Arabidopsis thaliana: one gene and its partners. The protein of the gene in region 2 interacts with the protein of the main gene of each other region in a pairwise test. Each region holds a gene or a part of one and is shown on either strand. Other genes may lie near its edges. The genes, in order: HDA05, GRF8, KCO1 and IDH-III.

Region 1 (7,658 bases), 1.6 Mb from region 2:
AGGTAATATTAGATTCATACAAATTGTCTCTCTCACACAGGAGGATAGCAAACTGTTAGAATGATTTGTTTGACGATTAGTAACAAAACAAATTAGCAACTTGGTAGGTGGCAGAGAAAGTTGCAGAAGGAGAGTTAGATTGTGGCTTTGCTATTGTCAGGCCCCCAGGACACCATGCCGAGTCAGATGAAGCCATGGGTTTTTGTTTATTCAACAATGTTGCCGTTGCTGCTAGTTTTTTACTAAACGAAAGAGTAATGACTTCTTTTGACTTTTGTGATGCTTTTAGTATCTCTTACTTGCTCTCAAATTTCTTTGGTCACATTCCTTTGGTGCGTACGTTTGTTCTCATGTTATGCGGCATTAATCGAATGCAGCCTGATCTAGATGTCAAGAAAATTCTGATTGTCGATTGGGATATCCATCACGGAAATGGTACACAGAAGATGTTCTGGAAAGATTCTCGCGTACTAATATTCTCTGTTCATAGGTATGTATTTGCAACCTCTGTCTATTCTTCTTTCCAAACTACTTTTTCACATGATCTTTGTTGAGGTTTAAAGTGACTGGAAATGCATTTGTGACTAGGCATGATCACGGAAGTTTCTATCCATTTGGCGATGATGGAGACTTTAACATGGTTGGCGAAGGTCCAGGTGAAGGGTTTAACATTAACGTTCCATGGGAGCAAGGAGGATGTGGAGATGCAGACTATCTTGCCGTATGGAACCACATCTTGATCCCTGTGACCAAGGAATTCAAACCAGATATTATTTTGCTTTCAGCTGGATTTGATGCAGGTTTGTATGGTCTAACCATTTGTTTCAAGGCTTTGTGACGGTAAGCTGTGTGTAATCTTTTCAACTTCTTCTTAACAGCTATTGGTGATCCGCTTGGGGGTTGTTGTGTTACCCCATATGGATATTCAGTTATGTTGAAGAAGGTTGGTGTTGAAGTGAACTGCCTCTTTTCTCCATTGTTTCTATTATGCGTACCATGGCTTCTCTACCATTGAAAATAACAAAGCTACATAATTTTACTTGGATATGACATCATTTAATTGGTTTCTCTCAGCTGATGGAGTTTGCACATGGAAAGATAGTGCTGGCATTAGAGGGAGGATACAATCTTGAGTCATTGGGAAAGTCTTCACTCGCATGTGTCCAAGTTTTGCTTGAAGACAAACAAATTCATGGTTCATCTGAAACATACCCATTAGAATCTACACGGCGTGTCATACAAGCGGTATGGCTCTATATAACCCTAACAGTCTGAAATTTTGTATGAATTGGCTACGATTTCTCTTTTCAGCTCAGTTCTTGTGTCATAAATATTGTATATCGCCTATGTTACTAATTGACAAAGCTCATCTGTTTCTTGTGGGTTTAGGTACGCGAGAGACTATGCACATATTGGCCTTCACTTGACGCGTCAATGGCGTCTAATGAGAATTTAAAGAACCCAAGTGCAGAAAGAAACTCCGCTGACGCCCTCCTTCGTGAAGTGGAAGAGTTAAAGTCTCTAATGGCTGCCCGAGATGGAGAACTGGAGGCAAGGAGAAAAGAGTTAAAGGCCAAAAATAAGGAGCTAGAAGCGAACGAGAAGGAGCTAGAAGCGGGACTAATGTTGATTCGCGCTCGGGAGGATGTAATCTGTGGTCTTCATGCAAAAATAGAGAGTTTGCAGCAGGAGCGAGATGAGGCGGTAGCGAAAGCTGAACGCATAGATAAGGAACTCCAAGAGGATAGGGCAAGAAGCCAGGAGTTCAAAGAAGACACAGAGTTTTGCTTGAGTACGTTAAGGAGGGAGAAGGAGCTTGCCATCATGGCCAAAAATAAGGACCTAGAAGCGAAAGAGAAGGAGCTAGAAGCGCGGCTAATGTTGGTTCACGCTCGGGAGGATAAAATTCATGCCAAAATAGAGAGGTTGCAGCAGGAGCGAGATGAGGCCGTAGCAAAAGCTGAACGCATAGATAAGGAACTCCAAGAGGATAGGTCAAGAAGCCGAGTTGGGAATGGATCTTTTGCCTTTTCTCAGGAGTTCTATGAAGACATGGACTTAGACGAGCTCGAACCTCTGTCTCCGGAGTTCAATGAAGACATGGACTCGGAAGAGCTTGAACCGTTTCAGGTCATCAAGAAAAACATGGAGCGTTCCCACAAGAAGTTCATAAAAGATATGGAGTGTATCAAGTTTATCGCCAGTGAGAGAGCCAGGGTACTTTAGGTTGGGAGCTTGAGGCCGTAGCAGAAGACTACCACAAGTTTCGCGAGATGGTTGATAAGCTCGGGAAGAGCAACATATACCCTTCTTAGAAAGTACAATGGTGTTTCATTGTAACCACAGAACCTTTTTGTGATTGTAAACCAACTGTGTCGTGTCAGACTTTGATTGGTTGCGATACTTGGTTTCCCAATTTCCCTCCAAAGAATCTCCAAATTGGTCAAACTCTCAAACCTAAAAAAAAAAAAGGAGAGAATGAAAAAAAGAAAGAATTGAAAAGTAAAAAATACTTGGAAGCTTTAGAAGCTGAGAGCAAAGACTTGACCTTTTTCACTTCCTTCTCACTGATCGTCGAACAATAAGGCCGTCGCATCTCCCAGTTATGGCTATGGCCGGAGAATCTTCCGGCAAAAAAATTGGAGACTGTGACGGTAAAGTCGCGGGGAACAGACAGCGAAAGGTGGGTCTTATTTACGACGAGACGATGTGCAAACACGACACACCTGACGGCGAGGATCACCCTGAGTGTCCCGACCGCATCAGAGTTATCTGGGAGAAGCTTCAGCTCGCCGGAGTTTCTCAAAGGTTCATACTTTCTCTCTTCTTCGTGCGGCTTTGTTGTTTGTTTGATAATATAAGCCCTAGAAAATGCTCAAATTTAGTCAAATTGGGTACTTTCTGATCCTGTCAGCTGAGAAACTGGTCTCAATTTGTTCTTCCTTGTTCGGTATGAAATTTACTTTTCTCAATTTGAATTGTGCATTTCATAGAATCAAAAGGTTTGTATGCTGCTCAATTTTAACGGTAACCCTTCATAAATTTGCTACCTTTTCGTTATGTTCGGTCTTGTGTTCGAGTTATTTCCTCCATGTCTGTTTTATAACCCTCTCTGATATCAATTTTATATTTTTCATATTTGTTTGAATTTCACTCATAACATTATTAATTAGAGTAATGTGGCAGCACATTAGTTAGGGAAGGTGGAATCTAGTCTTTGAGGTGTGTATCCATCACGATTTGTTTTTCGATTCGGATGAATTGGCCTGCTATGTATTGACGATCTTGGTCTTTTCTTTTGCAGATGTGTGGTTCTTGGTAGTAGCAAAGCAGAAGATAAGCATCTCCAATTGGTTCACACAAAGGACCATGTTAATTTAGTTAAGAGTATTAGCACAAAACAGAAAGATTATCGGAGAAACAGGATTGCTTCACAGTTGAATTCGATTTATCTGAATGGAGGTTCATCTGAAGCCGCATATCTTGCAGCTGGTTCTGTTGTAAAGGTAATAATACTAGTTGATTTGTTTCTTTTTACAATAGGAGGATACATTAGAAACTGTTAGAATGATTTGATTGAATATGGGGTAACAACATTTTTCTTTCAACTTGACAGTTGGCAGAAAAAGTTGCAGAAGGAGAGTTAGATTGTGGTTTTGCTATTGTCAGGCCCCCAGGGCACCATGCTGAGGCAGATGAAGCCATGGGTTTTTGTTTATTCAACAATGTTGCCGTTGCTGCTAGTTTTTTACTAAACGAAAGAGTAAGGACTTGTACTGTTTGCTTTTAATTACTGTCAAATTCTTTGGTCACATTCCTTTGGAGTGCGTGTTCCCAACTTCTTTGCTTTTCCTGAATGCAGCCGGATCTAGGGGTCAAGAAAATTCTGATCGTTGATTGGGATGTCCATCACGGAAATGGTACCCAGAAGATGTTTTGGAAAGATCCTCGTGTACTATTTTTCTCTGTTCATAGGTATGTAATTGTGACCATTGTTTACTCTTCTTATGATGTCGCTTGTCATGATTTAAGGAGCCTACTTTTTACTCTATTACCCCTTTGCTTGATTTTTACGCTTGGAAAGTAACTGGAAATGCATTTTTGGTTAGGCATGAGTATGGGGGTTTCTATCCAGCGGGTGATGATGGCGATTATAACATGGTTGGGGAAGGTCCAGGTGAAGGGTTTAACATAAATGTTCCATGGGATCAAGGACGATGTGGAGATGCAGATTATCTTGCTGCATGGGACCATATCTTGATTCCTGTGGCGAGGGAATTTAACCCGGATGTTATTTTTCTTTCAGCTGGATTTGATGCAGGTAAACATGGTTTAAGCATTTTTTTAAGCTATGTCTTGTTCAGAGGTGTGTAACCTTTTCAAACTCCTCTTAACAGCTATTAATGATCCGCTAGGGGGTTGTTGTGTGACCCCATATGGATATTCAGTTATGTTGAAGAAGGTTGGTGTTGAAGTGAACTCCCTCTTTTGTCCATCATTTGTATTTGCGCTCCAGGGGTCTCCATCATTGAAAATAGCACTTCTTGCTTTAGCTGGTTGTTTGTCCCTGAGCTAAATAATAGAAACTTGCATTTAATATCATTCTGTTTCTCCAATGTTCTCTCAGCTGATGGAGTTTGCACAAGGAAAGATAGTGCTGGCGTTAGAGGGAGGGTACAATCTTGACTCAATTGCAAAGTCTTCACTTGCATGTGTCCAAGTTTTGCTTGAAGACAAACAAATTCAAGGACCTCCGGAAGCATACCCATTCGAGTCGACATGGCGTGTCATACAAGCGGTATGGCTCTATATCATCCTATCTTTTAACTTTCTTATTTCACAATCTGAAACAACCTTCCATAAATGGGCTGTAGTCCTCATGTTACTAGTTGACCAAAACTCATCTGTTTCTTGTGGGTTTAGGTGCGCAAGAGGCTATGCACATATTGGCCTTCACTTGCAGATGAATTATCGTGGAAGCTAATTAATCAGAAAACTCCTACTCCAGTTGAGCACCCTTCTTTTTGTCTACCATTTCAGTTGTTCATTGTTCATCAGAGAGCGTTTCCTTGCCAGATCGGATTTAGAAAAACCTCACTATTTTTAGCAACCACTTCTTAACTTCTTTGTCTCTATACAAATTTTCCTTTGCTTGATCTTCTTTTTAGGCGACAGACTCGGTATTTCTTATCACATAATTTCTTTCTTATTTGTTCACTATAGATCATCCTTATCTCAAGCTCCGACTCTGAAACTGAAGACAACGCCCAAGGACTCCTGGATCAAATGTCGAAACTCAGCATTGAAAACCCTCAAGGTACACTACTTGAAAACCACCAAGTAGAACCTGCATCTACATCTTGGAGAGCTGATCTCGCAAAGGTTGACGTTTGGTATGCCTCTTTTGGATCCAACATGTGGAAACCAAGGTTTCTTTGCTATATTCAAGGGGGACAGGTAAGTAACCTGTTTTGTTTTGTTTTCGGGGTCGAGTCTGGGCTTTGGTCTAACTTGACACATCTATGGCTGTTTGTGTTTATTTTTAGGTCGATGGATTGAAAAAGGTATGTGTTGGCTCAATGGATAAAAGTCCACCAAAGGAAACAGTGTGGGAAACATTTCCACATAGATTGTTCTTTGGCCGTGAATCTTCAGTTGGTTGGGGTGTAGGAGGAGTTGCTTTCACCAACCCCCTTGCTAATCTCATTGATCAAACTCACATGTGTTTGTACCGTATCACGTTAAGTGTACCACTCTTCATCGCAGTTTCCGTTCACTTTCCCTATTTTATTCATTTGGTGATCTTCTCTACTTATTCACTATGGATGTTATTTTTGTGAACAGGCTTGAGCAGTTCAATGACGTTCTGTCTCAAGAAAATGGTTTGAATGTGGATTCAGATTCTCCGGTCTTTGATCTAGCTGCTTTGCAGTTAGTAGATAACAAAGGATCCATTTTAGAAGCTCCTTTGGTTAGTCAGATAACAAATGTTGATTGATACGCTTATAAAACATGTAATAATCACACTTATACTCGTTTATTGACATTTTTACAGAATAGTTGGTATGGAAATGTTGTCTGCTTGGGAAAAGAACGCGACATTCCTATACTTACAATGACGTAAGTTTTCATCATTCTTTTTCTTTTGCTGCTCATAAACCGAGTTAAACAGCTTTCATTTTTTTTTTCCTGAGGTTTCTCAATAACTTTGTGTTTGCAGTTGCACGCTTTCCGCTGTTGAGAAATTCAAATCCGGTGAGATCCCTATAAGACCTCCTGCAAAAGCTTATGCCAACACTTTAATAAGGGGACTTGTGGAAGGAGGAAGATTATCTAAAGAAGAAGCTGAGGCTTACATAGACAAGGCTGTGTCTAAACCTCTCTAGTGTATAATTATTTACTCAGAAACCGCCCGTTTGAACACGATTTGGAGCTTCGGGTTTCTGAGTTATTCAATTAGGATAAAAACCACAAGTTTAGGAATATTGTGAGACCTTTGAATTTGTCTTTTGAAAGAGAGGACTGTGTCCTCTGTTAGCTGTGTTGTGCTTGCTCCCTAAGCAAACTCTCAATGTATTTTAGTTATCTTCGGGTTTTAGGCTTTACCAAGAAGCTGTATTCGGTAAATGTATTAAAGAACCCTCCAAACTGCTTTATATTGACCGGAGAGAAACATTCTTATTCTTCGGAATGGTACTTTGAAGTTTGAAGAGTTATTTTAAAAAAAGATTTAACAGCACTGTGAAGAGTTCTGGTCAAACAAACCTATTTAAAAAAAAGAGATTGGAAAACATGTATAAATAAAAATTGAAACGTAAAAATACTTTGAAGCTTCAGAAGCAAAGATTGGACCATTTCTCTTTTTTCTCCCTGCTCGTCGAACGATAGACTCTCTCATCTCCCGCATATGGCCATGGCCGACAAAAAATATGGAAACTGTGACGGTAAAGTCGCCGGGAAAAGCCAGCAAGGTACACTAGTTGAAAAGGAGCAAGTAGATACCGCTTCTACATCCTGGAGAATTGATCTCGCAAAGGTTGACGTTTGGTATGCCTCTTACGGATCCAACATGTGGAAACCGAGGTTTATTTGCTATATTCAAGGGGGACAAGTAAGTAGCCTTGTTTCGTTTCTTTTTGGAGTCTGAGCTTGTGTCTTAATTGACACATCTATGGCTGTTTGTGTTTATTTTCAGGCCGAGGGAATGATAAAAGCATGTGTCGGTTCAATGGACAAAAGTCCACCAAAGGAAATAATGTGGAAAACATTTCCACATCGATTGTTATTTGGCCGTGAAACTTCAATGTTTTGGGGTGTAGGAGGAGTTGCTTACACCAATCCCCTTACTAATCTCAATGATCAAACTCACATGTGTTTGTACAGAATCACGTTAAGTTTCTTCATCTCCGTTTCCGAGTTTTCTCTTTTCATATATCTGATCTTTTCTACTTATTCATTATATGGTTGTTGTTTTCGTGATCAGGCTTGAGCAATTCAACGACCTTCTGTTTCAAGAAAATGAGTTGAACGTAGATTCTGATTATCCGTTCTTTGATCTAGCTGCTCTGCGGTTAGCAGAGAAGGAAGGATCCATTTCACTTCAAACTGCTTCGGTTAGTCAGATAACAGATGGTTATTTAATAGGAACATGTAGTAGT
Region 2 (5,612 bases):
GACCATGGACCTTGCTCACTGCATTCAAACCACACAAAAAATGATGGAATGAATAATCACAGAGGATTAAAAAAACAAGAAAGCAAAATCTAAGTCAGCAATGTAACTCAAACCTCGCATGAAAGGTGGGGAAACGAGGCAATGAACTTGTTGAAGTGCTTGTCCCGTTCAGAGTCCTTCCTGAAGTTCCAGCCTCAACATTTCGTCTTTCAAATTCATTATGTGAAGATATATTGTTCCGCACACCACAAGCTTCTGCTTCCTGTAAACATGATAATCAAATCAGAACATATTTAGAAACGGTAAAGGAAAACGAGAGACAAGGGGGTAAAAAGTAAGTACATATGAAACTTCAGTGCTAGTAGCTGAGTCAGATAAATCATCAGCAGCACCAAAGACCTTAGCACCATTACGTCCAAGTCCATTTTGAGCTGCGACGTGAGGCAAACCAAGATGAATTCTATAATCTTGAGGAGAGTGTTGCCTCTCGAATATCTCTTCATCTGAATCAGAAGCAATGTCCATGTCTGAACTTGAACCACCATTGTTATTACCTCTCACGGGTTTAATTGATGAAGACAATGGAGGAGCACTCCTGAATCCAAAACCATGACCAGAATTGGCATTGGGAACAGACTTAGCATCCAATTTCCGATTACCAATCGTCCACCTCGAATCAACATCCTACAAAACAAGCATTAGTTACAGCAAAATCAAACAACATCGAAAAATGCAGATAAAGTTTTTGTTCGTACCTCTCCTATGTTTCTTAAGCCAGCTTCCCTGAACATTGCTCCTTACCTTTTAACCTAAATTTCAGAAGAAAAATTATCAAAATTTTCATTCACATTCAACAATCAAATCTCAGTTCTATAATGAAATCCCTAAAACATAGCAACTGAAACGAAATCAAACGAAATCAAACGAATCGAAGGCTACAAAAGCGAAATTCTAGTGAAAACGGCAAAAAGAGAATGTAGCAAGAAAGATGAGAATTACTTTTTCTCTCTTTCACGAAATTCACATGAAAGAAAGCGAAATCGTGAACGGAAACTCACAAAATTGAAGAATCGATCTACTTCTCAATGCCAAAAAATGTTAATGCATTAGCTTACTTACACTGCCCAGAGAAGACTCTTCGGAGTTTTTTCGTTTCTTTTTTTCCAGTGAAAGAGTCAACACAAGTGTGAAACCAGAAATTTTTCCAGTAGAACAAACTGGTTAAATTTCTTCAAATTGACTACAGGTGGAAAATTCGACCAGTGACAGTCATTGGACTCAAATTTCACAATGAAGAAGAAGAAAAATGGAAGATCGATTGAGGAAGCTCTTATATTTCTTTCTCTTTTTTTATTTAATCTTCCTTTTTTTTTATGTAAGTTTAGTAAAAATTGCGCCACCATAGGAAAAAAATATATACGGTGAGAGCGGAGAAGAAGAGCGGCGTTGGATGGAGACGTCAATTAACGGTGACGGCGACTTTTATTACGCTTAGCGTAAAACTGACGTGGCAAGTGAAGATACGCCCTTTCTTTCTCCCATAACGGCAACGTTATGCGCGCGTGACGGTGCGTCTATCAGAGAATCAATTTGCATTACATTAGTTTTGGAGAATTTAGGTTTTGTTATAAATTAGTAAGAACTACGAGTGTATACAGATTTTTGTTAACCCAAATAATCTAAACAACTTTCCAGTATTAAAAACATGAGTAATCGATTTCTTCAGATTTTTCGATCTAATGATTTGGTCGCATTTGATTAACCAACTCTTTATTATTTTGTTTTTCATGCCAAACAAATGTCCTGCCGGATCTCAATTATCTCATTTGACTAATCAAATTAATATAGCATAATTTTCATCAATTCTCATTTATTGAAATTTACAATGAATCAACAAATAAAAACCCACAAAAAACGAATTCAATTAATTTGATCCGGTCTTTTAAATTTAAAGTATTGGAAAATGAAAATAATTAATTTTCTTTAATCAACAATATAAGAAATTAAAGAATATGAGTATTGACCAAAAGAAAAATTAATATCAACGAAAGAAAGAATTTGGACAACTTTTTCTTGTCTTCATATGCCTTTTCTCCGACCACATTAGTTGTGTCCAGGTCACGCCGAAAACGCATATGCTTAGCCAGCAAGGTAATAGCTTTAACAGGCTTCAAAAAGCCCATCTAAAGCCTAATCAAAAGCCCGTATTCTAACATTTGACCTTGAACAGTGTCAACTAGTTGGGGAAGCTGACGCACTAAATTATTATCGTCCATTCACTCGCTCTTATCAAAAAAACCGAAACCTAGCCACGCGCCTCGTACACTCAACGTGGGTTTCACGCTGTTAATCCTTATTTCAACTAACGACGTCGTTTATCAGAGTGTGTTAATCACGCGCGAGTGAAGAGAATTTCCTTTTACAGCTCATTATGACTCGGCTTTGAAGCTTTTTATTCTTCTTCTCAATTTCTTTTTTTCTTCCAGAAATTTCCTCCGATTTCAAAATTTTCCGGTGAAATCGAAAAAAAAAGCGAGATCTTCTTCTCTAATGGCGACGACCTTAAGCAGAGATCAATATGTCTACATGGCGAAGCTCGCCGAGCAAGCCGAGCGTTACGAAGAGATGGTTCAATTCATGGAACAGCTCGTAAGTGGAGCTACACCGGCCGGTGAGCTGACCGTAGAAGAGAGGAATCTTCTCTCGGTCGCGTATAAGAACGTGATTGGATCTCTTCGTGCGGCATGGAGAATCGTGTCTTCGATTGAGCAAAAGGAAGAGAGCAGGAAGAACGAAGAACACGTGTCGCTTGTTAAGGATTACAGATCTAAAGTTGAGACTGAGCTTTCTTCGATCTGTTCTGGGATTCTCAGGTTACTTGATTCGCATCTAATTCCTTCAGCTACTGCCAGTGAGTCTAAGGTTTTTTACCTGAAGATGAAAGGAGATTATCATCGTTATTTGGCTGAGTTTAAATCTGGTGATGAGAGGAAAACTGCTGCTGAAGATACTATGATCGCTTACAAAGCTGCTCAGGTATATCTTTGATTCCCTAAATCCTTGAATCGATCCTGTTGTGGAGCTAAAACCCTATTTCTGAGATTACTTCAATTAGCTAATCTGTAATCAGTTGTCTCATAATAAGTAAATTGGTCTCGAATCTAGCTATTGTATTGATCCTATCGTTAGAAGTAGTCAACTTTTACTATTTGGGCTTAAGATCAATTGCTTCCCTAATATGTCTTAGTAATATATAATTGTTCTGAAAATATGTATTTTTGCTCATTCGTGGGTTTTTGTATTGAAGGACGTTGCAGTTGCTGATCTAGCACCTACACATCCGATCAGGCTTGGTTTGGCTCTTAACTTCTCAGTGTTTTACTACGAGATTCTCAACTCTTCAGAGAAAGCTTGTAGCATGGCGAAACAGGTACTCTTTCTTCATCCACTATACTGCATGTTTGTTTCAAGTAGAGTTTCTCTGTCTGATCATCATTGTCTTAAGTTTGGTTAGGGAGAGTGTAATTTGCATTTTGAGTTACTAACTTGACCACTTGTTTTACTATTCCTATTGGCCCCATCTTGTATTCATTGTGTTGGGTTGATTTGAAGGAATTTTGAAACCTTTACCAGAAATAGACAAGTTGTTTATAAAAAGTAACTCTTTCTTCTTTCTGAACGGACCCACTTCTTTTTAATAAACAGAGATTCTAAAGAAAAAGACATTCTGCAAAGTCCTCTTTTGATATAACTTTTTTGACTAACGCTTCACATTAACCAAATTATTCCTTTTGTCAGTAGAATCTCTTAAAATGACAAGACTTTAGAACCACAATATCTCATACATTATGCATACGAGATTGTGTAGAATCTGATCGGGGTTTTGGTGCATATTGAATCCGGAACATCTCATGCATCACATATACAAGATTCTATAAGACTATTAAAGCTCATCTTATCATCGCATTTCTAACTTGTTCTTGTTGGATTCATCACCTCTAGGCTTTTGAAGAAGCCATTGCTGAGCTGGACACATTGGGAGAGGAGTCATACAAGGACAGTACTCTCATCATGCAGTTGCTAAGGGACAATCTAACCCTTTGGACCTCCGATATGCAGGTTTGCCCAATTCTATACTTTCATATTCAATTGCATCATCAGAAACTCGCATATTGATAGTCTTATAAGATTATTCGGATAATAACACCCCAAAACTCAATGATCGACTGCTTTATTCAGGAGCAGATGGATGAGGCCTGAAGGTCTAATGGAAGAAAAGACGGTTATGTAATGTACCTGCAACCGTAACCGAAAATCTGAGTTCAACCTCCTTTGCTGTAAAACTTGTCGAAAAGAAAAGTTTGTTTTTTTATGACAGATTATGTGCACAGCTTTGGTGTTATCTGCTGCTCTGTATCAACTCTGTTTTTGTTTGGTAATTTATCCTCATCTTTGCTTCTTTTCTTCTCAAAATTTTATATTTCAAACAAAGTAACAATATCTTAGCTTGGTTTGTGAGTTCCTCGAGACTGATGAAACGCTTAGTGTAGCGTTTTAGATGATTTCGCTTATGAGTGGTCAAGTTAACGGTTTGGTTTCAGTTCAGTTGTTTTCAAGAATTTGCTTTCTAGTAGTAGTATTATGTATAATTGAAACTCGTATTAAAAATCGGAGAAGTAGCTGAAACAAAAAAAAAAAAAAAAAAAAATCGGAGTTTAGACAACCTAAATCATCAAGAGTGATCATTATAGAAGACTCATAAATCAATGGAAGACAAGTAAATGCGTGATGACGATTCAAATTTTCATGAGATTACAGAGATATAATACAACTGTTAAATGAAAAAAACAAATAATATTTTACCTGAGAGTCTTGAGCGTAATTACGATTTCCTATATTGATTTGACTTGAGAGTTGAGAGTAGGAAAATATGAACGTTGTGAAACGGTAACATTTTTTATGAACGTTGTGAAACGGTAACATTTTTCGACCGTTTGATGTAATATTTTTTTTGTAAGAAATTCAGATTATGAGTCTATAAGTACTCCTTTCTTCGTTCAGAAATCTGAATTCTCTTATTCAGTTTATATTCTTACAAATGTCGAACACACTCTGTTTTTGTTCTTTTAGTTCTGTTCTCTTCTGTTCTGCTACTTGAGTTCTCGTTCTCACTCGAACTTAATGCTCATTAGCCGAGGGAGAAACGAATTTTTGAAGGCATATAAAGGTAAAAGTCTCTGCTCTAATAATTAATTCCTCTAGTTTTCCCTTTACCATTAGAAGATTTCTCTGTTAATTGCTGTGTTTGTCATCTTCCATACATGTTTTATAGAGTTCAACAAACATTAAGATGCTCTGTTTTAGCTGTCATGACTCTGTTTAGTTAGTGTAGTAAACTATTTTAGTTATATATGTGTGTCTTCAATTATATATATCATGTTGTGAGATCAATTATGTGTATGGTATTCTGAGTTTTATATATGTTCTGTACTAGGAAAACTGAATGGTTTTTTAATATTTGTGAAAAGCAAAGACATAAAAGGTTTTGTCTAAAAAGATTTTTGGATTTTTATAGTAAGCGTACTAATTATACATGAAGCAAAATTGTTGAC
Region 3 (5,497 bases), 3.6 Mb from region 2:
TAAAAGAGGGAGAGATATTTTCAATTGTTAATGTATAGACTAGAGACTTTAAAGGGAGACACATCATCACTACCACCACACAAACACGAAACTCATATGAATGGCTCCAAATAAGAAGATTGTCTTAGTTAGAAAATGGACTTCCCTCTTTAATATAAATATTAAATACTTTCACCTACTTTCTCCTTGCACACCAAGCCACAACTGTTTTATACTTGTCCCCACCTAAGATAATGAATGCATGAATGCATGGTTTTCAACACCCTGAAAAAGTAAACCGGTAAAATTCATCGTGGGAGTCAAAATTGGTAGAGTTTAACATGCTTATTATTAATTTGCACACCCATTTCTGTTGTATGAGTGTAATCCACACACAAAAAAATTGTTTAGCAAATTGTTACACAAAACAGAGCTTAGGTAATAAGAAAATTAGCAAATTGTTACAGAAAATATATTCTCCTAAGTTGTCTAGCCTCTAGTATCCCGATACCATACAATCCACAAAACAGAGGATGGAATAAAGTGAGAGAGGAAGGAACAGAACAATACATAAGAAATAAAAAGCAACATAAAAGATTGGGTGTTCTTGTTAGTTAATTAGAAGAATGTTAAATTGTCATTATAAAATATTTTTTAAAGAATGTTAAATTTCTAGAAAACTTATCTTTGTGGGATGAAGAGAATATTATTTTCTTTTAAAAAAAGTTTTGTATTGTTAAATCTAAACATATACATCAAACTTTAAAAATCAAAGCAAAAAAAGAATATCTCTCCTTTTGCATGCTTTTGACATATTGAATTTAATAGGTAATTTTCTTAATTAAGATGTTAAACTTATGGATTCATGATTTGAACAAAACTGAAAAAAGTATATGGAAGCGTTGGTGAGATTCATACCTATCAAAATGAACAAAAGGATCACCAACCGAATAGTAAAACCAACTACTGTATTTATCATGGCCATTTTTCTTCTTCTTTCTTAATTTCTCTCTTTATTAAAAATTTGTTAATTATATCATAATCTTAACTGTTTTATATAAAAAGTGTTTTTTCCTAGAATATACAAGGTATTCCGCAAAAAATGCCAATAAAAATGGTTTTAAATTAAAAAGAAAGACCAAAACTCATATAACCTCAAAAACATAGTATGTTATTTTTAGTTAATATAAATATTAAATACTTTCACCTACTTTCTCCTTGCACACCACAACTGTTTTATACTTGTCCCCACCTAAGATAATGAGTGCATGAATGCATGAACCATCATTGGCCGATGCGTTTCCTGGTGCATGTAGCTCACAGCCGTCGTTCTCACATTTTGTTATTTATGATCATACTTTTTTTTCATTAAAAGGAAAAAGGTTTACTGGTTTGGTTTAGAACAAGAACTACTCGTTATAATCATACTTTTGTTTAATTAAAAAAACAAAAACAAATAATTTCTAGTACATCTTATATTACATACTATAGTTTGATGATAAAAATAAAATTCAAATGACGATTATCATGTCGAAAAGACAAATAATAATTGTCTTACTGACCTACCTGCCTGCCTCTATATATATACTAGTCTTTGGTCGCCTTTACTATAACCAAACATCGAGCTTGCCTTAGAGTTTGTCTCAAGCTTCTCCTTTTTTGGTATTTTGTCTTAAGCTTCCTTGCTTCTCTTTCTTCTTCTTCTCTACTCTTTCTCTCTATTTCAAACCTTCGTTTTCTTTCCTTTTTTGTATAAAATCTTAAAATCAACCAAGACAATGGAAATGAAATTGCTCTTTACATCGGCTTTCACCCAAATGTTCGGCTACTCGAACCATATGGATCAAGCCAGCAACTGCCAAAGCACCCGCAACAAAATTATAAAGATGATGAAGAAAGAAGAATTCCCAAGTGGATTCCAAGTCCCTCTTCACTACCCTAAATACTCCAAGTCTGATTACGAAGTTATGGATGATCTCCGCCTTGACTTGCTCCTCAAACAATATGGATTCTCCTTTGAAGGATCTCTTGAAGACAAGAGGGTTTTTGCAATTGAATCATTTCTCTGGCCTGATCAGCTTTAGATGGTCTATGTTGGTGTTGAATGATCTTATATCGCTCTCCACATGCATATCAATGAGCCTATACTCGAGTGGTTGAATGTTTTTAAAATTATGTCAAATTACCATGTATATCAATCACTTAGTAATGTTTTAGAACTATGTCAAATACTAGTGTGTGTTATATTTCTTTGTGTGTGGGGATGTTTTGAAGTATGCAATTCTTCACATATATATGTATCATATGAGTGCATTAATAACATCTTTGATGTCATGTATAACACTAAAAAAATGTGATTTATCGACTTATAAAAATCTTAACATATTGACATTAACATAAAACATATAGATTATTGTATGATATAGATTAAACATGACGTCATGCTGGATATTTTGGCTTATTGGCTTGTACATTACTTGTGATTATGAGTGTATAATATAAAACTAATTACTAGATTTGCACAAAAAAAAAACAGAAGGATAGAAAACTAACTAGAAAATTAAGACATTACATACATTCTTCTATATGAAAAAAAACATTTAAAAAACAAAACAAAACATTTTTATACTAAGATACTAATGAAAAATCCTATCAAGAAAATGAAGAAGATCATAAAAACAAAATTATCGGATTTGAAGAGAATAAATTTTGACCAAAAAAAAAGAAGATAATTAAAATAAAATAAAAACAAGAATTGGCCAACTGTGAGAACATCATCAATGAAGACCAATTGCGAGATCCGACAACACCGCTTCTTTTGATTTCGATCTTACTTTCCTGGGTATGTCTCAATTCTTCTTCCTCCTTCAGTTCGTGTTCTGTGTCTGATTGATTACTCTCACAAAACTCATCTTTTCATTGTCTAAAGGTCTAATCTTTAGCTATAACTCAAAATCTGTATCTAAGTTCTGACAAGTTTCTGTTACGAAATTCAAATTTTTTGATACATATGTTCATTTCTCAGAACAGGAGATGTCAATTTTGGCGATGGTTTTCGTAACATAAACATGAGATTTGATTGTTCTGTGCAGATCTCATAGTTAATCTGGTTTGAGTCTAGAAATGTCGAGTGATGCAGCTCGTACGCCATTGTTACCCACTGAGAAGATAGATACCATGGCTCAAGATTTCAACCTGAACTCAAGAACTTCTTCTTCAAGAAAACGAAGATTGCGTCGCTCTAGAAGTGCTCCTCGTGGTGATTGTATGTACAATGATGATGTCAAAATCGACGAACCACCTCCTCATCCGAGTAAAATCCCAATGTTCAGTGATCTAAACCCGAATCTCAGGCGAGTGATCATGTTCTTGGCTTTATATCTTACCATTGGTACGCTCTGTTTCTACCTCGTGAGAGACCAGATCTCCGGTCATAAAACCAGTGGTGTGGTAGATGCTCTCTATTTCTGTATAGTAACGATGACAACTGTTGGATACGGTGACCTTGTCCCTAATAGTTCCGCCTCAAGGCTACTTGCTTGTGCCTTCGTCTTCTCGGGAATGGTCCTCGTTGGTCACCTCTTAAGTCGAGCGGCGGATTATCTAGTGGAGAAACAAGAGGCTTTGCTCGTTAGGGCTTTCCATTTGCGTCAAAGCTTTGGTCCAACAGACATTCTCAAGGAGTTGCATACTAACAAGTTGAGATACAAATGCTATGCTACATGCCTTGTCCTTGTAGTCCTCTTCATTGTTGGCACGATTTTCCTTGTAATGGTTGAGAAAATGCCGGTTATCTCAGCTTTCTACTGCGTCTGCTCCACGGTTACAACATTGGGTTATGGAGATAAGAGCTTTAACTCGGAAGCCGGACGCCTTTTTGCTGTGTTTTGGATCTTGACGAGCAGCATATGTTTGGCTCAGTTTTTCCTTTATGTAGCTGAGCTAAATACAGAAAACAAACAGAGGGCGTTGGTGAAATGGGTTTTAACGCGAAGAATCACAAACAATGATCTCGAAGCAGCTGATCTCGATGAAGATGGAGTTGTTGGGTAAGAAAGACATCAGACATATTCTATCTTCTGTTTCCTTCTTCCTCTTCTTATTCTTTTTTTTTTGTCTATTGTGTGTTGCAGAGCTGCAGAGTTTATTGTGTATAAACTGAAAGAAATGGGTAAGATTGATGAGAAAGATATTTCTGGGATAATGGATGAGTTCGAGCAACTTGATTACGATGAATCAGGAACTCTCACGACTTCTGACATCGTTTTAGCTCAGACCACGTCTCAGATTCAAAGGTAAGCCTCATCATCATCATCATCTTGCGAAGACGAATCAGAATCTTTGTTTAGTTATACCTTCACACAACAAAAAGCCGAAGAGAGTGAACAGTTTTTCGAAATTTTGTTTGTTTTTTCCTGTTTGTGTTTGTAATGTAATGCCACACTCTAACTCTTTGATCGTTTCTTGATGCTGAGTGTATAATTTTACATACATCTATACATATGAAGCTCTCTAGTGTTATGCTCCATGACCAAGAATTCATGGATGATTCTCTCAAAGGACAGGGTATGAAGACTGTTTTATTGCTTTAAACTTTTTTGGTATTTTGATTGATACAAAACATTTTCAAAAGATAGCGGTTTCTCGCGTTATGGAAGTCGTCGTTTCTCGAACTGAGATTCATGGCAATGAGGGTCAAGCCAGTCTCTTGAAACACCTTTTCCCATATTAGTTCCTTTCTCTGCACCTGCACCCCCGCCTACAAGCTCTCTTAAGTTAGCCATTTTGTTTTCTCGACCAGAGCCGCTCATTTTCTGATCTGCTTCCTTGAGCATCTGCTTAAACCGCTGCTTGCGGCTCGATGTGTTACTACCACCATCTTGTAGCTGCGAAGGAGGAGCTCCATGTGGTCCTAAGTAGATGTTTTCTTCAGCTTTACTCTACAAAATCATACAATGAGAGATAAAGAGTTAACAACATTTTTTTGAAACTTGTCTTGTACGTAAGAAATCAATCACTAACCTTAGGAGAAGAAGGTTTTGATGTTTCAACTTCTGAATCATTATTATTATTAACCTTGTCTTCTTCAATCTCCAAGCTCGGAATCACAAACCCATCAGTGTCTGCCACCAATCAAATGATCGACTCAAGATTTGTAATTACACAAGAAGATACAGAAATTTGAATGATTGAATCCGATCACATAAACACGAAAGAACCCTAATTTCAATAAAGAAATGCAACTGAATCGATTAAAGCGAAATTACTTACCCCATTCATCATTGTCTTCTACCTTGGGAAGATTCGTCTGCATTACAGATGTATCCATTGAAGACTAACGTTCATGGACACTCTCCGAAGGACCAACAGTTTACAAAAAATAATTTCTCAGCTCTTTGGCTTTTGAATGTGAATTTATGTATCAATTTTACAATAATTCGATTATTTTTCACCTGATTGATTTTTCGCGAAACCCTAAATGTTAGAGCTTGGGAAAAGGGGGAAACAGATAAATAAT
Region 4 (5,322 bases), on a different chromosome or scaffold from region 2:
CATTAAACATCAAACAAGATATACAAGAAACTATCTACTTTCTCGTCTCTGCAACATCTTATAAAGAGAAATGCTAAGCAAATGAGAAAAGGTTCTAAGGTAAGAGTTTCTCAATGCCATTCTCAAACGTTTTAAGAAATTTACAGGAAATCAAGAAAAAGTAAAACAGAGCCATTTCTTGGTTGGTTTAACGCCGTCTTGTTTTCTCTGTGAAGGTGCCTTGCTAGAGCTCCGACCTGTTTTTTTATCCTCGCCGGCTTTACTAAATATAACGGTGAATCCCTCTGCCGTCGCCGGATCATTCACATCCCATTCTCCGAATTTTGGCAAAGGCCTTGCGTCACTATTCGATGCCATTTCAATCTTCAGGATCAACAAATCAGAGCAAAATTTCTCAAAAACAAATTATTTTCTTCCTTTTATTGTTGTTCTTCTTTTTCAATGACTTCTATTCTGAGATCGTTCTAATTGATCAAAAGATGATGGACTCAGGGTGTATTTTATAGTTGGAAGATTTCAATAAAGCAGAAACAGAGAAGTTTTGTTATGAAATGTTCCTACGGAATGTACTCGTATGAAACACGGAGACAAGATATTTCTCTTTACGCATTTCTTCTTAAACATTCTGAGGTTCAAAATCTTTGGTCTTTGCGCGTCATACCCTGTAAAACCCTAATTATAGCAAAATGCTTCTTATCCATGACTGCTCTGTTTTCTTATTTGGTGCTACTGTTATCTTTGGTTCTCTACATGCTTGTTTAGTAATCAGAGACCTTATATAATATCCTCCTGGTCAATGAGTTCAACAAATCTAAATTTGTATCACATTTTCTTCAAGTCATTTATTATGCCTTTTTTAACAAGTAATTTGATTAGTGTTTTTACCTAATTTTGATGCAAAAAGAGTTCAAAATCTTGCTTGATAAACAACATTGCTTCTGTCTGTCCTTATTGATTTTATTTTATAACATAGAGCTCATGCTCAAACGTGAGATCGGATATTAATCAAAAAGAGAACAAAAATGAATCAAGAAACAAAAAATAGCAACGCAAAACAGAGAAAACCAACACTTTTCTCTTAGTTGAAATGAAAAAGACGAAAGAAGAAGCAAGCAGAAGCAGAGAAGCTCACATGGTTTCACTCAAGAGCTGCTATGACAGCATCAACAACTTCCTGCGTGGTACAATCTCCTCCAAGATCTTTTGTTCTATATTTTCCTTCTTTAATCACTTGTTTCACTGCTGTTTCAAGCCGATCAGCAAAAGTAGGAAACCGGAGATGTCTTAGCATCATAGCCGACGAGAGAAGTAGAGCCACCGGATTCGCTTTCTTCTGTTCCACCATCTTATCATTCCCCACATTCCCTGCTGATGCACCTTGCTCGAATATCGCATGTTCTGCACCAACATTCCCTGTCCCCAACAAACCCAAGAAACGTCATTTTACGAAAGATTATAACTGTAACTATTATATTTATTTGACAAACCTCCTGGCATCACTCCAGTGCCACCGGCTATTCCAGCCGCCGTGTTTGCTATAAGGTTACCATACAAATTAGGTGTCACCTGAAACAAACCAACAAAAAATATCCATGAGAGACATCAAAACAACATCAATGATGGTTTCATCGTCTGTCACATTTCAAAATGACTCATTTTGATTTGTAACTAGGAAAAGAAGAGCATTACCATGACATCAAATTGCTCAGGCTTGGCGACAAGCTGCATACAGCAATTGTCTACGATTATTTCATTGTAAGTAATCCCCGAATAATGTTTAGCAACCTCTCTACAAGATTCAAGGAAGAGCCCATCCGCAAGCTTCATAATGTTAGCTTTATGAACAGCAGTCACTTTCTTCCTATTGTTTAGATACGCATACTCAAATGCATATCTCGCTATTCTCTCAGAACAAAACTTTGTTATCACCTACACAAACAATTCAACAACATCATGTATACAAAAGGGATCACAATTTGGACTAAAAACAATCCCTATAATTATATATGGTTTACCTTAAGGCTCTCGACAACACCAGGAACAACCTCATGCTCGAGACCTGAGTACTCTCCTTCAGTGTTCTCTCTTATCACAACGATATCAACATTTTCGTGTCGCGTCACTAATCCAGGGACATTGATGCAATTGACAAGAGAAGCGAAGATATCGAGTTCTTTCCTCAATTGCATATTCAAAGAACTGACACCCCCACCAACAGGAGTCGCTAATCCACCTTTGAGACAAACCTTGTTTCTCTTCACAGACTCGATCACTTCTTCAGGGACTTTTCTCATGTTTCCTAGAACCTCGTATCTCTCGAAATGCACTGGCGCGTGCATCGCTTCCATGACCTGTTCCACCGCACCGGTCACCAAAGGTCCGATTCCGTCGCCGGGAATTAGGGTTACGGTTCGTGGAGCTCCATCTCCGGGTCTAGGCATGTAGGTGATGGATCGGGACAGTGATGTGAATGGAGAAGGAGGATTCGCCAGAAGGCGATTAAATATCGAAACGGATCTTCTCGCCATTGCTAGATTTAGCTTCTTTTAGGGTTTCAGAGCAACGAAGGTCGATTTCGTTTTCGGCGATTTACATGCAGCGTTTATGCCTTTGTCAGTTTTATTTTATTTCTTTGGCCAATCAGCTTTATTCCAAAAAAAATTATTTTGTTCAATCATTTTTTTGTAATTTCTAAAATAATATTTTGTAAAAAAATGAAAATTGTTTTATGATAATATAAAGAAATGTTTTATTGTAGCCTAAAGTTCACGTCCACTTCGTGTGTGGTACGTTTAAAGTAATATAGATAAAGGATACTTCCAAATAGTTTTGGATTCTCTTGCAATGGTGGTGGTATTAAGAACTTGGACTGAATCACGGTCACACGCATTACAAACAAGAGCAGAGAGAGAGAGACCACATCTGATTTCGCATGAAACATTCCAAAACAGTGAGGACAGAAACACAAGACTTCAGTTTTACTTTTTTTTTTCTTTTATCTTTTTGACTGTCGCTACTTCGATTCCAACACAATCAATCACTGTGTTTAAAAGGGTTTCTCAGTTTCCTTATCATTAACCTTTTTTTTATCATCTTCTCTACACTCTTCACCAATAGCTTCACTCTTTTTGGTCATGGCTTGTATAAACGGCGAGAATCGTGATTTTTCTTCCTCGTCATCTTTGTCTTCTCTTCCAATGATTGTCTCCCGGAACTTTTCTGCCAGAGACGATGGAGAGACCGGTGACGAGTTTCCTTTCGAGAGGATTTTCCCGGTTTACGCTAGAGGAACCCTTAATCCCGTGGCCGACCCGGTTTTGCTGGATTTTACCAATTCTAGTTATGACCCAATTTGGGATTCTATAAGAGAAGAAGCTAAGCTTGAGGTTTTCTCCTTATGCTCCATAATCATATTCTTATTATTGATTTATACGTTTTTCATATATGTGACTTCAATTCAACAAAGACAGAAACTTTGATATTGTTAATCAACTTCGATTTTCTACATTGAAAGGTTATGATAATGACATTCTTGTGTACCTTTTATATCAATCCGACAAAACCGTGGGGTCGAATTCTCACTAAATGCTTTCTCTGTCTCTTTAACTACTTGATTAAAGCTTTTAAATTTTTCTTGCTGTTACGTATTTCTCTCACCCGTCTACTTTTTCAGCGTCAATTTTTCATTAACTACACGAAGGACAAGTTAAGGAACAGAGTTTGTGTGTGTTTATGTTCCTTTAATGGTGAATATTGTTGTGTGTTTTACAGGCAGAAGAGGAGCCGGTTTTGAGTAGCTTCTTGTATGCTAGTATCTTGTCGCATGACTGTTTAGAGCAAGCATTGAGTTTTGTTCTAGCTAACCGTCTCCAAAACCCTACCTTGTTGGCAACTCAGCTTATGGATATATTTTGCAACGTTATGGTACATGACAGAGGTATTCAAAGCTCGATTCGTCTTGATGTTCAGGTAAAAACGCTATCTCGTATCGGTGAATCTTCCTTTTGACACTGATATTATTGTCTGAGAATGTGACTGCAGTGTAATGTTTTTTTTTTTTGGTCCATTGAAGGCATTCAAAGACAGAGATCCTGCTTGTCTATCGTATAGTTCGGCTATTTTACATCTGAAGGTAGTCTCTTAACCATCATAGTTGCTGATTTAAAGACAATAACATCTCTTACACCGATATAAAATGATTGCTAAGTGAGTTTTCATGTGTATTTTACCAGAATAGTTTGTTCCACAGGGCTATCTTGCACTGCAGGCGTATAGAGTAGCACATAAGTTGTGGAAGCAAGGAAGAAAACTATTAGCATTGGCACTGCAAAGCCGAGTAAGCGAGGTAAGAGTAACTTCTACAACTTCTTTGGTTACTGTTATAGTCTTGGTGTACAACGTTAACCTCTGATCCATGTCAATGGTTTCTCTCAGGTTTTTGGAATCGATATTCATCCCGGTAAAGATTTTAGATTCATAGCTAATAGCTTGTCTATGCTTTTACATCTAGCATCTGAATAACTTTGGTTTCTGTTTTTTTTGCTCAGCTGCAAGAATTGGGAAAGGAATATTGTTGGATCATGGAACTGGTGTGGTCATAGGTGAGACTGCTGTGATAGGCGACCGTGTCTCAATTTTGCATGTACAAATCCGTTCTCTAACTTCATTTCTCCAAAACTATAAAGAACTGTTGATGTTATAAATGCTAGCTTATATTTTCATGTTACAGGGTGTGACATTAGGAGGAACTGGGAAAGAAACCGGTGACCGCCATCCAAATATAGGCGACGGTGCTCTTCTTGGAGCATGTGTGACTATACTTGGTAACATTAAGATAGGCGCTGGAGCAATGGTAGCTGCTGGTTCGCTTGTGTTAAAGGATGTTCCTTCGCATAGGTATGAAACCACTGACATGCATCTAAATATCAATCTCGTTGAGCTTTTTTGTTTGAACATTGCTCAAATTGACATTTTCTCTCGGGCGTTTCTGAAGCATGGTGGCTGGAAATCCAGCAAAACTCATCGGGTTTGTTGATGAGCAAGATCCATCTATGACAATGGAGCATGGTGAGTCTTGATTGTGAAAATAGTATTCTGATTTTGTTCTCCATTGCTCAGGCTTTCGTAGTGTGCCAATATGCTAGTTGATTGAATATGCAGATGCTACCAGAGAGTTCTTTCAAAATGTAGCTGTTGCTTATAGAGAGACAATACCAAATGGTAACTTACTTTCTTAATTCCTACAGTGAACTGTGTATTTATATATCTGAGTATAGTTTGGGATCTGAATTGAATTTTGCTTTTTTGTTAAAACAGGATCTT

What was found.
Region 1: the proteins of GRF8 (region 2) and HDA05 interact in a protein complementation assay, tested with the Arabidopsis thaliana proteins (one study listed by BioGRID).
Region 3: the proteins of GRF8 (region 2) and KCO1 interact in a two-hybrid assay, tested with the Arabidopsis thaliana proteins (one study listed by BioGRID).
Region 4: the proteins of GRF8 (region 2) and IDH-III interact in a two-hybrid assay, tested with the Arabidopsis thaliana proteins (one study listed by BioGRID).

The regions. Positions count from the first base shown.
Region 1 is NC_003076.8:24,565,865-24,573,522, reverse strand, and holds HDA05 (histone deacetylase 5), read left to right. Parts: upstream 1-2,531; 5' UTR 2,532-2,605; coding exon 2,606-2,808; intron 2,809-3,304; coding exon 3,305-3,506; intron 3,507-3,616; coding exon 3,617-3,763; intron 3,764-3,862; coding exon 3,863-3,975; intron 3,976-4,109; coding exon 4,110-4,321; intron 4,322-4,397; coding exon 4,398-4,474; intron 4,475-4,627; coding exon 4,628-4,798; intron 4,799-4,923; coding exon 4,924-5,007; intron 5,008-5,223; coding exon 5,224-5,457; intron 5,458-5,546; coding exon 5,547-5,740; intron 5,741-5,844; coding exon 5,845-5,971; intron 5,972-6,055; coding exon 6,056-6,120; intron 6,121-6,220; coding exon 6,221-6,386; 3' UTR 6,387-6,740; downstream 6,741-7,658. Other genes in the region: HDA18 (histone deacetylase of the RPD3/HDA1 superfamily 18), read left to right, coding at 1-2, 108-254, 378-490, 589-800, 879-943, 1,075-1,245, 1,390-2,226; AT5G61050 (histone deacetylase-related / HD-like protein), read left to right, coding at 6,908-7,111, 7,196-7,389, 7,484-7,613. UniProt on the Arabidopsis thaliana protein: Responsible for the deacetylation of lysine residues on the N-terminal part of the core histones (H2A, H2B, H3 and H4).
Region 2 is NC_003076.8:26,147,194-26,152,805, reverse strand, and holds GRF8 (general regulatory factor 8), read left to right. Parts: upstream 1-2,329; 5' UTR 2,330-2,550; coding exon 2,551-3,036; intron 3,037-3,307; coding exon 3,308-3,430; intron 3,431-4,002; coding exon 4,003-4,176; 3' UTR 4,177-4,239; coding exon of another isoform or gene 4,240-4,260; 3' UTR 4,261-4,424; downstream 4,425-5,612. Other genes in the region: AT5G65440 (uncharacterized protein), read right to left, coding at 1-18, 114-262, 343-684, 756-791. UniProt on the Arabidopsis thaliana protein: Is associated with a DNA binding complex that binds to the G box, a well-characterized cis-acting DNA regulatory element found in plant genes. Involved in the regulation of nutrient metabolism.
Region 3 is NC_003076.8:22,528,616-22,534,112, forward strand, and holds KCO1 (Outward rectifying potassium channel protein), read left to right. Parts: upstream 1-2,742; 5' UTR 2,743-2,821; exon of another isoform or gene 2,822-3,071; 5' UTR 3,072-3,102; coding exon 3,103-4,028; intron 4,029-4,112; coding exon 4,113-4,278; 3' UTR 4,279-4,507; downstream 4,508-5,497. Other genes in the region: AT5G55620 (uncharacterized protein), read left to right, coding at 1,758-2,063; AT5G55640 (Na-translocating NADH-quinone reductase subunit A), read right to left, coding at 4,629-4,919, 5,002-5,102, 5,251-5,308. UniProt on the Arabidopsis thaliana protein: Voltage-independent, large conductance and potassium-selective tonoplast ion channel. Regulated by cytoplasmic calcium and pH. Does not mediate slow-vacuolar (SV) ionic currents, but essential to establish VK currents.
Region 4 is NC_003075.7:16,905,790-16,911,111, reverse strand, and holds IDH-III (isocitrate dehydrogenase III), read right to left. Parts: upstream 2,616-5,322; 5' UTR 2,529-2,615; coding exon 2,016-2,528; intron 1,930-2,015; coding exon 1,690-1,929; intron 1,567-1,689; coding exon 1,488-1,566; intron 1,414-1,487; coding exon 1,139-1,413; 3' UTR 904-1,138; downstream 1-903. Other genes in the region: AT4G35655 (RPM1-interacting protein 4 (RIN4) family protein), read right to left, coding at 151-357; SERAT3;2 (serine acetyltransferase 3;2), read left to right, coding at 3,135-3,386, 3,772-3,969, 4,073-4,132, 4,250-4,345, 4,435-4,459, 4,548-4,642, 4,730-4,896, 4,994-5,067 and 2 more. UniProt on the Arabidopsis thaliana protein: Performs an essential role in the oxidative function of the citric acid cycle.